3 linked regions of the Macaca mulatta genome follow. The protein of the gene in region 2 interacts with the protein of the main gene of each other region in a biochemical or structural test. Links are inferred from orthologs where the notes say so. Each region holds a gene or a part of one and is shown on either strand. Other genes may lie near its edges.

What was found.
Region 1: the proteins of TOR1A (region 2) and TOR1AIP1 form a complex in vitro, tested with the Homo sapiens proteins (2 studies listed by BioGRID and IntAct). The link is inferred for Macaca mulatta from reciprocal best matches to the Homo sapiens genes TOR1A and TOR1AIP1.
Region 3: the proteins of TOR1A (region 2) and torsin-1A-interacting protein 2 form a complex in vitro, tested with the Homo sapiens proteins (4 studies listed by BioGRID and IntAct, with this or other methods). The link is inferred for Macaca mulatta from reciprocal best matches to the Homo sapiens genes TOR1A and TOR1AIP2.

What each region holds. Positions count from the first base shown.
Region 1 is NC_133406.1:37,288,274-37,292,533, reverse strand, and holds the start of TOR1AIP1 (torsin-1A-interacting protein 1), read right to left. Parts: upstream 2,969-4,260; 5' UTR 2,938-2,968; coding exon of another isoform or gene 2,860-2,937; 5' UTR 2,751-2,859; coding exon 2,273-2,750; intron 244-2,272; coding exon 166-243; intron 1-165. Other genes in the region: uncharacterized protein LOC144340607, read right to left, coding at 2,860-2,937. UniProt on the Homo sapiens protein: Required for nuclear membrane integrity. Induces TOR1A and TOR1B ATPase activity and is required for their location on the nuclear membrane. Binds to A- and B-type lamins. Possible role in membrane attachment and assembly of the nuclear lamina.
Region 2 is NC_133420.1:17,787,186-17,791,687, reverse strand, and holds the start of TOR1A (torsin-1A), read right to left. Parts: upstream 2,852-4,502; 5' UTR 2,803-2,851; coding exon 2,625-2,802; intron 1,650-2,624; coding exon 1,384-1,649; intron 1-1,383. UniProt on the Homo sapiens protein: Protein with chaperone functions important for the control of protein folding, processing, stability and localization as well as for the reduction of misfolded protein aggregates.
Region 3 is NC_133406.1:37,259,502-37,263,898, forward strand, and holds the start of torsin-1A-interacting protein 2, read right to left. Parts: upstream 2,986-4,397; 5' UTR 2,870-2,985; intron 1-2,869. UniProt on the Homo sapiens protein: Required for endoplasmic reticulum integrity. Regulates the distribution of TOR1A between the endoplasmic reticulum and the nuclear envelope as well as induces TOR1A, TOR1B and TOR3A ATPase activity.

The sequences.
Region 1 (4,260 bases), on a different chromosome or scaffold from region 2:
AATTGGTATATTATGTATGTTACAAGGTTATATGGGTGGCTGGTACTCTTGAGTACTCACATGTCTGCCCTTGTCTTTTCTTTACACATATTTACATTGCTTACTTCAATGAACATTTAAAAAGTTGGTAGGTAAGGAGATAAACAAAAAGTCAACTCTTCTTACCTGGAGCCTCTTGTATGCTCCTGACAGTTTTCTTTGAAATCGTTTGGCTTAAATCAGTTTCGGAAGATGGTTCATCCTCTAAAAAACAGACGTAACTAGAGTTAAAATTCAGAATATATGACCTGGGAGATAATGGCACAGATTATGCATTTTTGTAATAATACATATGCAAAAATGCAAGAAATTCATTTCTTTAGAAACAGGTGGTTAGGTTTACCAAAATTTAGGAATTAAACTAGTCAGAACTCCTCTTGGGACAGAATACAACTAATTCGTTAGAATATAGTAATATTTGCCACTGTTGTTTTACAAAAATATATCATTTCAGAAAATCAAAAAGATGGGGTAGAGAATCACAAACAATGTGGAAGAATGCAGAAGAGTGAAAATGTTTAGATCTTTAAAGATTTAATAAAATAGGGGTAAATTCTTTACTTGTTAAAAAAATGTTAGCCTATATAACTGCACTAGGCTCTGTGGGACTCAATACAATGTAACATATTTATTGCCTACCTTGTGCAAAGCATTCTTCCAGGTACTGAAAGATACTGAATTAAACCAAGTACTTAAATTACTATCAAATATATATGATAGGCTCCTTGTCTGCAAAAACTTTGTAATTTTTTTTTTTTTTTTTTTTGAGACGGAGTCTCGCTGTGTCGCCCAGGCTGGAGTGCAGTGGCCGGATCTCAGCTCACTGCAAGCTCCGCCTCCCGGGTTTTTACGCCATTCTCCTGCCTCAGCCTCCCGAGTAGCCGGGACTACAGGCGCCCGCCACCTCGCCCGGCTAGTTTTTTGTATTTTTTAGTAGAGACGGGGTTTCACCGTGTTAGCCAGGATGGTCTCGAACTCCTGACCTCGTGATCCGCCCGTCTCGGCCTCCCAAAGTGCTGGGATTACAGGCTTGAGCCACCGCGCCCGGCCAAAACTTTGTAATCTTAAAAGAGATAAAACACACATATATATGGGCTAAACTGTCTTGAGTTGCTACACCCAAAAGTAACTGACACAACTTTAACATAAAGTTGCCAAAATCAAGTCTTCAAATCTGTCAGTACCTTCACGAGTCAGCAGGTAAACTTGCAGCCTATCATCGTGCTGTAAGCTGAAAACCCACTCCTCCGCATATCAATAGTCTACCACAAACTATGTCTTCCCATTGTGACTCAGGTCCGCTGATTTTTACCTCACAGGTGCCTTACGTGGGACTAACATGAAACTTCATCTGTGACTCAGTGTTGGGTCCCAAAATGGGGGGGCAGGGTGGGAGAGGATAGGTTAAGGAAACTGATTCACCTATGACTTACCTAACACTATACATTCACTCTGTCAGCATCCCTTTTGTCCATTTAGACGAAAACTAATTAATAGTATTGTTTTTCAGGTTGCTTTGTCAGCCTGATTTGCCAGACTACTTGAGGTTACAGTGACGGCCACCAAAGTGGCAGATTTTTGGCAGGGACCACCACACTGGAGAAAGAGCAATCAGCTCAAGTTTATCAGACACTGGGGAACATGAGTTCAGGAAAAATGAGTTACCCCATTTCGGTGTAAGTATTGGGTGAGGTCTCAAATCAATTAACTAAACTCAGCAATCCCTCGAAATGCCCACTCACAAAATTTCTCCTTTCTCTCTCTCCACCTGGGTGGGGAGGGAAAACGACTGAAAGGTTTGATCCTCAGCTGGAGACTCTGGCCTGCCAGCGTTAAAAAAGGAAATGGAAGTGGTTTCCGTAGAAACATCCGCAGGGTAGACGAAACCAAAATGAAACCGAACCTGGAGTAATTCGCTGTCCCCTCGTGAAGGCCTGCAGAAAAAGGCAGCCCTGACTCCCCTAAATTGATGCCCGATGTTGGTCAGAGCGCCCCAGCCCTGCCCGGGTCGCTCCATACGACCATCTTTCCACTCCTTAGGTCGGCGCTTCCTTCCCCGCTGCGGGTCAGGATGGCCCTTGCACGGCGACACACGTCCAGAAGGGACTGAGGAGTACCCAGTACCCAATCCCAGTACTTAGTACCCAGGCGGGGATGAGCTCCACGGAGGCGCGCGCCCGCCCCCGCGCGTTCCCTGGCTCGCGGCTGGGACTGTTACCTCCGCGGTCCTCACCTTCAGAGGAATGACAGTCCCGCAGCCCTCTCCTGGTCGTAACGGGAGACGGCTGTAGCGGAGGCTGCTGTGAGTACTGCTGCTGAAGGCGGGTAGCCCTTCGCGTCTGCATCTCTTCGGCTTCCTGGAGTCGCGGCAGCCTCCGCCGCTGCCTAGAACGAAGGTAGTACGCGCTTTCTCTCACTTCCTCTTTCGCAGAATCGGGCCGGAACTCTTCTAGCCGGCTTCGTTTTCCCACCGGGGACCTTTCTTTGGCCACCAGGGGCTCGAAGTCTCCGTACACTTCTGGCGGCTCCTCCGAGAACCTCACTTCCCGCCGGCCCTGGCGCGACAGAGGAGTTCCGTACGCAGGCGCGTCGCTGCTGCCGCCATTTTGAGGGGCGAGCCGGCCCCTTCCTTCTCGGATGGGGGCCCTGGGAGTGACGTACACACCCCATCCTTCCCGCACCGCCTCCGCCCGCGGTCCCTCGCCCGCCATAGTTGTTGACGTAGCTTTAGTTGATCGCGAGGATGGCTTTCTGGATCCTAGGTTCTCCTGCCGGTGGCGGCGATGGCTTCTCGGGTGTGTTAGGCGGTGGTCGCTGTGGTCAGGGAGGCAGTTGCGAGTCGCCGGGGCCGCCGCCTGCGTCGTCGCTGCTGTGTAGCAAACCTGCCTCTGGGCCCATGGTGTGTCTTGAGGGCTGTGGAAGAGGCAGTGCCTGAGCTGGGTCAGCTGCTGTGGGTCGCTCCCGCCTCCTGGCTGGAGACACCAAAGAGGAGGAGAAGGGGGAGGAGGACGTCTCTGCCTTCGGCCTTCAGTAAAGGAGGGGTGGGGGCGACGGAAGGGTGGCAGGGCAAATTGCCTGTCCCAAGTCGAGCCGCTCGTGGCAAGTTTTGACTGCATATAGGAGACGCCCGTCCTATCTCCCACTACCAAGTCTGCGGGAAAAGGAGTGAGACGAGGGTGAAGAAGACCAGGTTTCGCTTCTCGGCCCCAGGCTGTTGCGCAGTTTCCCTGGAATCGTTTTGATCGACTGCTACGTTGAGCATGTCCTTCCCAGTGTCCTTAGCAGGAGCGATGGCCAGAGAGATAACTTTTGCACATGTCATGTTTTCGTGGCAAAAATTTTAGTTTCAAGTTCCTTATGAAGGCGGTTACCTAGTTTTAAATTTTGTCACCTGTTGAGGTTGTACAAAATCCTGTCTACAGTCATACTCTTTGAATGTATTTTCTTTTCCGAAATGTACCCATAGGAAACATGACCTTATTCCTGGTCTTTAATATTTCTTGGTTTTATACCAAGCAGCACTGTTCGGAAGACCATGTTAGTGCTACATTGTGCACAGTGAGGAACACGTTTTTTTATTAAAGACAGTACTGTAATTTTAAGTTGTGATCCATTATTTTTACTTTTATTCTGGATATGACGTGATACTCTACATTTGATTTAAAATGCTTTCTGGACTTTCTGGAATAAGCATGGTAAAAGCTATTTGTTTCACCTCCATATACCATGTTTATAGATGTGGCTAATCTGCAAATACCTAACCAAATTTAGACACACTCAGAGAAGGTCGATTAAGTTCGTGTAAAGTCTGAATAATTATTGAAAAAAAGCTCAAATCACCTTCAAATATACAACTTCTTGTGGGACTTGCTATGATTGGAGTGAACAGATTTTAAAAATTGTAATTTGGATACCAGTTACAATGAGTGATTCTGAAAAGTTTGAAGGTGTTTGTTTATTCTTCCAAGTAATCACCTTAAAATGCTTCTGAGCAACTCATTTGTTGCTCAGACTTGGCACAAATTTCAACTACTTAGGTCGTAATGTGTACTACGTTTTTAGTTTTTATTTTATTTTATTTTGAGACGGAGTTTGCTCTGTCACCCAGGCTGGAGTGCAGTGGCACGATCTTGGCTCACTGCAAGCTCCGCCTCCAGGGTTCACGCCTTTCTCCTGCCTCAGCCTCCCCAGCAGCTGGGACTACAGGTGCCAGCCGCCACG
Region 2 (4,502 bases):
CTACTTGGGAGGCTGAGGCAGGAGAATCACTTGAACCCGGGAGGCAGAGTTTGCAGTGAGCCCAGATGGAGATTGTGCCATTGAACTCCAGCCTGGGCTACAAGAGTGAAACTCAGTCTCAAAAAATAAACAAATAATAACTTTTGCCCACCTTGCAGGTCTGTTACAAGGATCTAAAAGGCAACAGTTAACATTTATTTGTAACATGCACCAGGCACATGTTACACACTTGACAGACAGAGTTCCCTGGATTGTTACAAGCAACACTTTGTAAGTCAGAACCTGAGTCTCAGGTCAGGCAACTGTCCTAAGACTATGGAGCTGGGAGAGTGTTAGGACTCAAATCCAGATGTGTCTGCTGCCAAAGCCCAAGCTGCTAATCAGTGAGTTCAACCATAAAAGCTGTTTGCCGCTGGGCGAGGTGGCCCACACTTGTAATCCTAGCACTTTGGGAGGCTGAGGTGGGCAGATCACTTGAGGTCGGGAGTTCGAGACCAGTCTGGCCAATGTGGGGAAACCCCATCTCTACTAGAAATACAAAGATTAGCCGGGTGTGGTGGTGCATGCCTGTAGTCACAGCTACTCGGGAGGCTGAGGCAGGAGAATCGCTTGAACCCAGAAGGCGGAGGTTGCCGTGAGACAAGATGGCGTCACTGCACTCCAGCCTAGACAACAGAGTGAGACCCTGACTCAAAGAAAAAAAAAGGGCAGTTTGCAACAGTAGGTTCAACAAACTTAGGACTCTCTACATATGTTTTCTCTTTCACAAAATGAGTGAGATGTGACCGGGCATGGTGGCTCACACCTGTAATCCCAGCACTTTGGGAGGCTGAGCTGGGCGGATCACCTGAGGTCAGGAGTTCGAGACCAGCCTGGCCAAGTTGGCAAAACCCCATCTCTACTAAAAATATAAAAATTAGCTGGGCATGGTAGCAGGAGCCTGTTATCCCAGCTACCTGGGAGGCTAAGGCAGGAGAATTGCTTGAACTAGGAGGCAGAGGTTGCAGTGAGCTGAGATCATGCCATTGCACTCCAGCCTGGGTAGCAAGAGTGAAACTTCATCTCAAAATAAAAGAAAAAAAAAAACAAAAAACGAGTGAGATGTGTTGATCTCTAAGATGGATTAGATCATGTCCACCTCTAAAATCCCATGACCCTACAAACTCACTGGACCGATTTTCAGAACCCACCACAAAGCTTTGATGGTGTTAACTGCTCCACGCATCTCAAACTCTAACTTCTACACCTTTCCAAGGGGAACTGAGACGTGAACCGTTTTCAGGGCTCACTCATTTCAACACAGAATTTCCAAATCTCATCCCACAACGAAGAGACCCCAAACCCGACGACATCCAGGAAGGGATTCCAAACTCCCATCCTTGCCTTGTACAAGGTGATGTTTGAAGCATGTGGAAAGTGCAATGTGGCCACAAACAGGTGGACATAGTCACTGTTCAGACCACCCTCGTAAATATTCTCTGCGATGATCTTGCTGACGAAATTTTTGCCGGTGCCTGTCCACCCGTGCAGGGAGAGGGTGAGAGGTTTCTTGGGCTTCGGATTGTTTATGAAACCAAACACAGCATTTAAGATGATTTTCTTTGCAAGATGCTGTCCAAAGAGCTTGTTGTCCAGATCCTTCTGCAATGCTGGGGGAGACAAAGCCAATCAGGAGTGGGGAAGAAACAGTGACAAAAGGCAGCCACATTTACAGCCCATGAGAAAGCCAGCAAAGCCGTCTAGCTCTTCAAGCACCTTGTGAAACCTCAAGTACTGCGGTCTGTAAGCTCCTGGCCCAGAGGGGACGGTGGTCCAGGGAGCCCTCCCTTTGCTGGTCCTGCCTATTCTAAAGCCCTGGCCCGGTTCCTTCCCGAAAAGGCCCTTGGTGCGGGTGCCACTGCCACTGCCACTGCCACCAGTTTGCACCTCTAACCCCTGTGCTGCTCCTCCCACCCCAAGGCAGGGCGGGGAAAGAAAGCAGTTTGGTCCCTCCCGGTCGCCTCCGAAGAAGTCCTCACCATCCTTCCTGTCTCCCGCTAGGCTATAAAGGAAGCAGAGCCCACTTCGGAGGGAGATTACCACCGGTCCACCCCCAGCTTAGCACAAAGTAGGCCAACCTGCAGCCCGGCTCCTCAGGTCTCCAACTGAAGTCTGGCCCGTCTGTGGTGGCCAAGGGGCCAGGCCTCATCCTGCAGGGGCCGCTCGGCTTCCGGGGTCCGGCCCGCACGGACTCAGCTCTGCCCAGGCCCGACCCTCCTGGGATTTGATCCCTATCCCGGCCCGGCCCTAGTGCCATCCCCCAGCCCCAGTCCCCGCCCCGATCCCCAGCCCCCAAGCCCCGCTCCAGCCCTAGTCCTAGTCCGGCCCTAGTGCGATTCACCAGCCCCAGCCCCAGCCCGGCCCGGCCCTAGTGCCATCGCCCAGCCCCCAAGCCCCGCTCCAGCCCTAGTCCTAGTCCGGCCCCGGTGCCATCCCCCCGCCTCCATCCTCCATCCTCCATCCCCTGGTCCTAGCCCAGCCCTAGTGCCATCTCCCAGCCCCAGCCTCCAGCCTCCAGCCTCCAGCCCCCGCCCCAGCCTCCAGCCCCCGCCCCAGCCCCCGCCCCAGCCCCCGCCCCTGCCTACCCTCCCTGCTAAGGCTCCGCTTCTGCCCGCAGCACTCGGCGAAGAGGCAGTAGAGACGCGGGTAGATGTAGCCGGTGAGGACGCCGGCCAGGGCCAGTCCCAGGCTGATGGGCTCCACCGCCTGCACCACGGACGGCGCCAGCAGCAGCAGGCCCAACGCGGCCCAGCCCAGCTTCATGCCCGGACCCGCGCCACCCTGCGCGTTCTCGCGCCGACCGCGAACCAGTACCGCCGCCAGACCCGCGCTTCCGGTTCCTCCTCGCGCGGAGGCCATCTTTCTTCAGGGCAGCCCTCCTCCCGACGCCGGCGGCCGCCATCTTTGTTCGGTACAAAGCCCTGTTTTGCTTCCGGAAGGTCGGATCTGCACCGCCCCCGTCGGCCACGTGTTTTTGTTTGTTTATTTTAAAGTAATGGACGTTATTTTTGCCGGGCGTGGTGGCTCACGCCTGTAATCCCAGCCCTTTGGGAGGCTGAGGCGGGTGTATCACCTGAGGTCAGGAGTTCGAGACCAGCCTCACCAACATGGTGAAACCACGTCTTCTACTAAAAATATAAAATCAGCCAGGTGTGGTGGTAGGCACCTAGCTACTGGGGAGGCTGACGCATGAGAATCGCTTGAACCCAGGAGGCGCAGGTTGCAGTGAGCTGAGATCCCACCACTATACTCCAGCCTGGGCGACAGAGCAAGACTGTGTCCCTCCCCCCAAAAAATAATAATGGACGTTAATTTTTAGAACAGATTTACAGAAAAAATTGTAAGAGTACAGAGTTCCCATGTGCCACACCTCCCTGCAATTACCCGTTACTAAATTCTTACATTATTAGTGTATTACATTTGTTAAAATTAACGAAGCACTGTTGTTATATTAACTAAAGTGTACAGTTTATTCGGATTTCCTTCCTTTTACTTATGCCTTTTTCTGCTCCAGGTTTCCATTCAGGATACATTAATTTGTTATGTCTTAGACTCCTGTTAGTGACAGTGTCTCGGCCTTTTATTTTTATTTTTATTTTAGCTGGAGTGCAGTGGTGTGATCTCAGCTCACTGCAACCTCCGCCTCCCAGGTTCAAGTGATTCTCCTGTCTCAGCCTCCCGAGCAGCTGGGATTACAGGCATACACCACCATACCTGGCTAATTTTTGTATTTTTGGTAAAGACGGGGTTTCACCATGTTGGCCAGGATGGTCTTGATCTCCTGACCTTGTGATTCACCCACCTCAGCCTCCCAAAGTGCTGGGATTACAGGTGTGGGCCACCATGCCTGGCCTCAGCCTTTTATTTTTGATGACCTTGACAGTTTTGAGGAGTACTGCCACAATCTTTGGTAGGCTGGCCCTCTACTGGAATTTGATGTTTTTCTCAGGATTAGACTAGCGCTATGGGGTTTTGGAAGGAAGATCACAGAGGTAAAGTGCTATGCTCATCACATTCTACCAAGGAAGGGTTCTTACTGTCAACATTACCTATCACTGTTGGTGCTGACTTGATCACTTGACTGAGGTAGTATCAAGTCTCCGCACCGTACACTTATTCTTCTCCCCACCCCTCTTTTCTCTACTGTACTCTTTGGAAGGAGGTCCCCATGCACAGCCCACACATTAAGGAGTTAGGGATTTTGCTCCACCTCCTTGGGAGCAGAGTATCTGCAGAGATTATCTGGAATTCTGCATGGGAGATTTGTTTTTTCTCCCCCATGTATTCAATCATTTATATCAGTATGGACCATTGTTATTTTATCCTTTGTGTTATAATACAGTACTAATTTTTTTTTTTCTCAAATTGTTCTCATTTTGGCCACGGGGAATTTAAGTGGTTCTTTGTGTTCCTTTGACCTACACCCAGTGTATACCAGTTTATTTGGGTTTGAGTGCTTCTTT
Region 3 (4,397 bases), on a different chromosome or scaffold from region 2:
TCTTCAAGAGAATAGCTTGAATTAAAATAAAAAATAAATCTAAGCGTAGAAATTTAAGTCATTGCTGAAACAATCACTGCAGATTTCCTGCATGTCTTCAATTTCTGTCCCAGATGATTTTCTCATAGTCTGCCTATCAGAAGCTTTCACTTATATTAAAAAGTAACAAGGCACAGGAGGTTCCCACAAACTGAGATGGCTGCTGTGAGGTGTACCACTACACATTTGGACTGACTTTGAAGTGGTTCTCTTGAAGTATTCTTTTGTAAAATATGGAGACAGATATCCTTTTATACAATGCCTTTTTATGCAATGCTCAAAGACAAAGAAAATTATTAAGATTTACACAAAAGGAATCAAAATCAAAGGCACTTTATAAGCAATTAAAAATCATATTTTGTAGTTAATTTTTTTGTCAAAAACAAATTGATCAGTAAAGTTACTTAACATTCATTCCCTATAAAAATGAGAATAATGATACCTATGAGGCTTAAATACAAAAATATATAAGAAAAACCTGTGTGAAGTGTTATAGTTTTTTGACAGCCTAGCTGGGAGGCTAGCCAACTTGCCGTCTTTATATTTTTCTCAGTACTCTTTTGTAAAATTTAATTTTACACATTAAAAACTTTCATCCCCAATGCCTACACGGTGCCTAGTGTATAGTAAGAACTCTGTATTTTAACTTAAAAGCATATGAAAAAATAAATGAATATATAAATAAAGAGTGATGCCATAGATAAACTGGAAGGGAAGAGAAGAGTTAGGGACAGACTCTTCTTTCTGCCACTGTGAACACTTAGCATAAGTGTTTGGAGGGTTCCTTATCACTGCTTTTATCTTCTTCAAGCTCCTGGGACTGGGCTTTCAAGCCATCATATGTTGCAGTGAAGTTTTCTCTCCTATCCTAGCTCATGACAGAAAATAAAAAGTCCCCAGTCCTTTTCAAGTTTCTTTAAAAAAATTTTTCCTGCCAGCCAAAACCAAGAAAATAGGTTAAAAGTTTCCTATGTACCAATAACAAAAATTTTCAAAAGCAAAGATGCTACTCACAATAACCATAAGGAACCTAGAATAAAAACTAAAACATACCTAGTATTAAATCCAACAAGAGATATGCAAGATCTTTAGACAGTGGTGAATTTTATGGTATGTAAATTATACCTCAATAAAGCTGTTTCTTTAAAACACAACTTTAGAGAGAAAAATACAGAACTTTATTGAAGTATATAAAAAAGACATAAGTAAACAGAAAAATATATCATGAGTAGACAGTAAGACTCAAAACCATTGATGCCAATTTTCTCCAAATTAATCTACAAATTTAATGCAATTTGAAACAAAATCTCAAGTTTTTTGATAATTGTTGGTTTCTAGTGAAATGGAAAACCTGATCCTAAAATTCAAAAAGAGCAGCAAAGGATCAAGAAGAGTCAGCATAATTCTGAAGAAGAAGGGGGCAATCTTTACCAGATATCAAACCTTCTTTAAACTTAAAAGTAGGCTGGGCATGGTGGCTCATGCCTGTAATTCCTGCACTTTGGGAGGCTGAGAAAGGCAGATCACCCAAGGGTCAGGAGTTCGAGACCAGCCTGGCCAATATGGTGAAACCCCATCTCTATTAAAAATACAAAAATTAGCCAGGCATGGTGGTGCATGCCTGTAATCCCAGCTACTCAGGAGGCTGAGGCAGGAGAATCATTTGAACCCAGGAGGCAGAGGTTGCAGTGAGCCCAGATTGCACCACTGCATTCCAGCCTGGGTGACAAAGCAAGACTCCGTCACCAAAAAAAAAAAAAAAAAAAATCTTAAAGTAATAAAAGCAATGGAACACTGGCACAGGAATAGACAAACAATATACAGAATAGAGAGTAAAGAAGTATACGCAGCATACATACATAAGGAAATTGGCTAATTCAGCAAAGGGAAATAATGAATTAGTGAATAAATAGTTTGGGGACAACTGACTATTCAAATGGGGGGAAAATTAGATTTCTGTCTCCTACTTCAGATAAAAATCAAGTCCATATGAAAGACCTAAATGTAAAAAGTAAAACTTTTAAACTTTGAGAATATCAAATATCTTTATAACTGCAAGGGTTTCTTAAATAAGATACACAATACACAAACCAGAAAGTAAAATGTGACAAACGTGACCCCATTAAAAAATTTTTAATTTCTACACAAGGTATCAAAATTAAAAGATAAGTGTCTGACTAGAAAAACATCTGCAACATATAAAACCAGTAAGGAGTTAATATTGAGAACACATAAAGAATTCCACAAATCAGTACAAGACAAATAATGCTATGAAAAACTGGGTAAAGGGATGAACAAGCAGTTCAACAAAGAGGAAATATGAAAACATAATGAATATGAAAAAAGACTAGTTAAGGAAATACAACCCCAATGACAAGTAAACTGTTATTACAACTTCAGAGAGAAATATGGCAAAGAAAATTAAGGCAAACATATTCTACAAATCAGCAACTCCATTTTTAGACGTATAACAGAGAAACTCATTCATATGCCCCAAAATATCCACTGCTGTATTGTTTAAAATGAGGAAAAATGAGAAAATCTATATGTTCATTAATAAGAAAGTAGGTTTGAAAAATTGTCATATTCTTACAATGTAATATTATACATAGCAATTCAAATAAATTAGATTATCTTTAAAAGTTGTAAAATTACAGCACTGAAGTACTGATGACCAGGTACAATGGCTCACACCTGTAATATCAGCACTTTCAGAGGTCAAGGCTGACAGATTAATTGAGCTTAGGAGTGCAAGACCAGCCTGGACATGGTGAAACCCCATCTCTACAAAAAAAAATAACAAAAACTAGCCGGGCGTGGTGGTGCATACCTGTAGTCCCAGCTGCTGAGGTGGGAGGATCACTTGAGCCCAGGAGGCAGAGGTTGCAGTGAGCCAAGATCACGCCACTGCACTCCAGCCTGGGCGACAGAGCGAAACTCTATCTCAAAAAAGAAAAAAAAAATGTTGAATATCTTTACTGAGGTGGTGGTTCCATTTGTTATCAAACTTAAAATCTGTACGTTAATTGTATGTGACATAGATTATCCTCAATAAACTTTATGGCAAACAAACAGAACTGAGGGCTTTCAAAAATATATTACTCGGTTACTAGGTTGCAGTCCAAAAGAATCTGCAAAGGTGCCATCACAGATATTTCTATAATCTTACAAATGCTTAACATACACTTTTCCTGTCACAAAGCACACGTAGATCCTATAGCCCACTTCATTCAGACCTTCTGTAACATATCATCACTGTTTATAGTTGAAATGGCATTTCCCTCACAGTGCAAGAAGTGGGACAAACAAGAGTTCTTGACAAATCCTCAGATAAGATCACATGGCAGGGTATCTGAGAGATCTGGAGGCCACTGTTCCAGAGGCAAGTCAATCTTTCTTTTTTTTTTCCTCCAAGATAGAATCTTGCTCTATGACATAGACTGGAGTGCAGTGGTGTAATCTCGGCTCACTGCAACCTCCAACTCCCAAGTTCAAGCAATTCTCATGCCTCAGCCTTCGTAGCTGGGACTACAGCTGCGTACCACCATGCCTAGCTAATTTTTGTGTTTTTAGTACACACAGGGTCTCACCATGTTGCCCAGGCTGGTCTCAAACTCCTGGCCTCAAGTGATCTGCCCGCCACAGCCTCACGAAGTGCTGGGATTACAGTCATGAGACAACGCGCTCAGCCAGGCAGGTCAATCTTTTGAACGGTGTCTGATCCCTATCAGGATATGCGTTTATTAGGAACCTCGGGACTGCATAATGGAAGTGAGGCAGAGCCTCATCCTGAAGGAAAATGGGGTAGTTGGAGCTTTCTATAGCTGTAGGGAAAAACACTCCATAAGCATGTCCCAAAATAGATGCTTTTGACAGTATCTTCTACAAGGAACTGATGAGACCTGTGTGCTTCACATGGCAACGAAAGACATTCACTTTGAGTGAATCCCTTGCAAGTTCAATTACGAAATGGTGTTCAGTGCTCTATCCATGGCGGTTATAGTGATTCAGATTTCTACTTAAATAAAATGTAGCCTCATCACTGACAGTCATTTCCACCTCCCTGTGACCCTGAAATCTGCAGCAAAACTTGCATCATTTTGCTTTAGTTGTCTCCATCAAGGCTTGTAACAGGTTAAGGCTGTAAGGTTTTATTCTCCATTTATGGAGAACATACTAGATGGCCGGCTGAGGGATGCCTTGCTTAATTTCTATTTCCTGGGACTTCTCTAAGAGGGACACATTTACCTCACTGCTTCCTCTGTAAATGTGGCTGCCTTGTGCTCTGTCTTCTAAGATGTACCCTTTCTGCTTCATCTCACTCACTGTAAAATGGTAAACGCTTTGACTACCCGGTA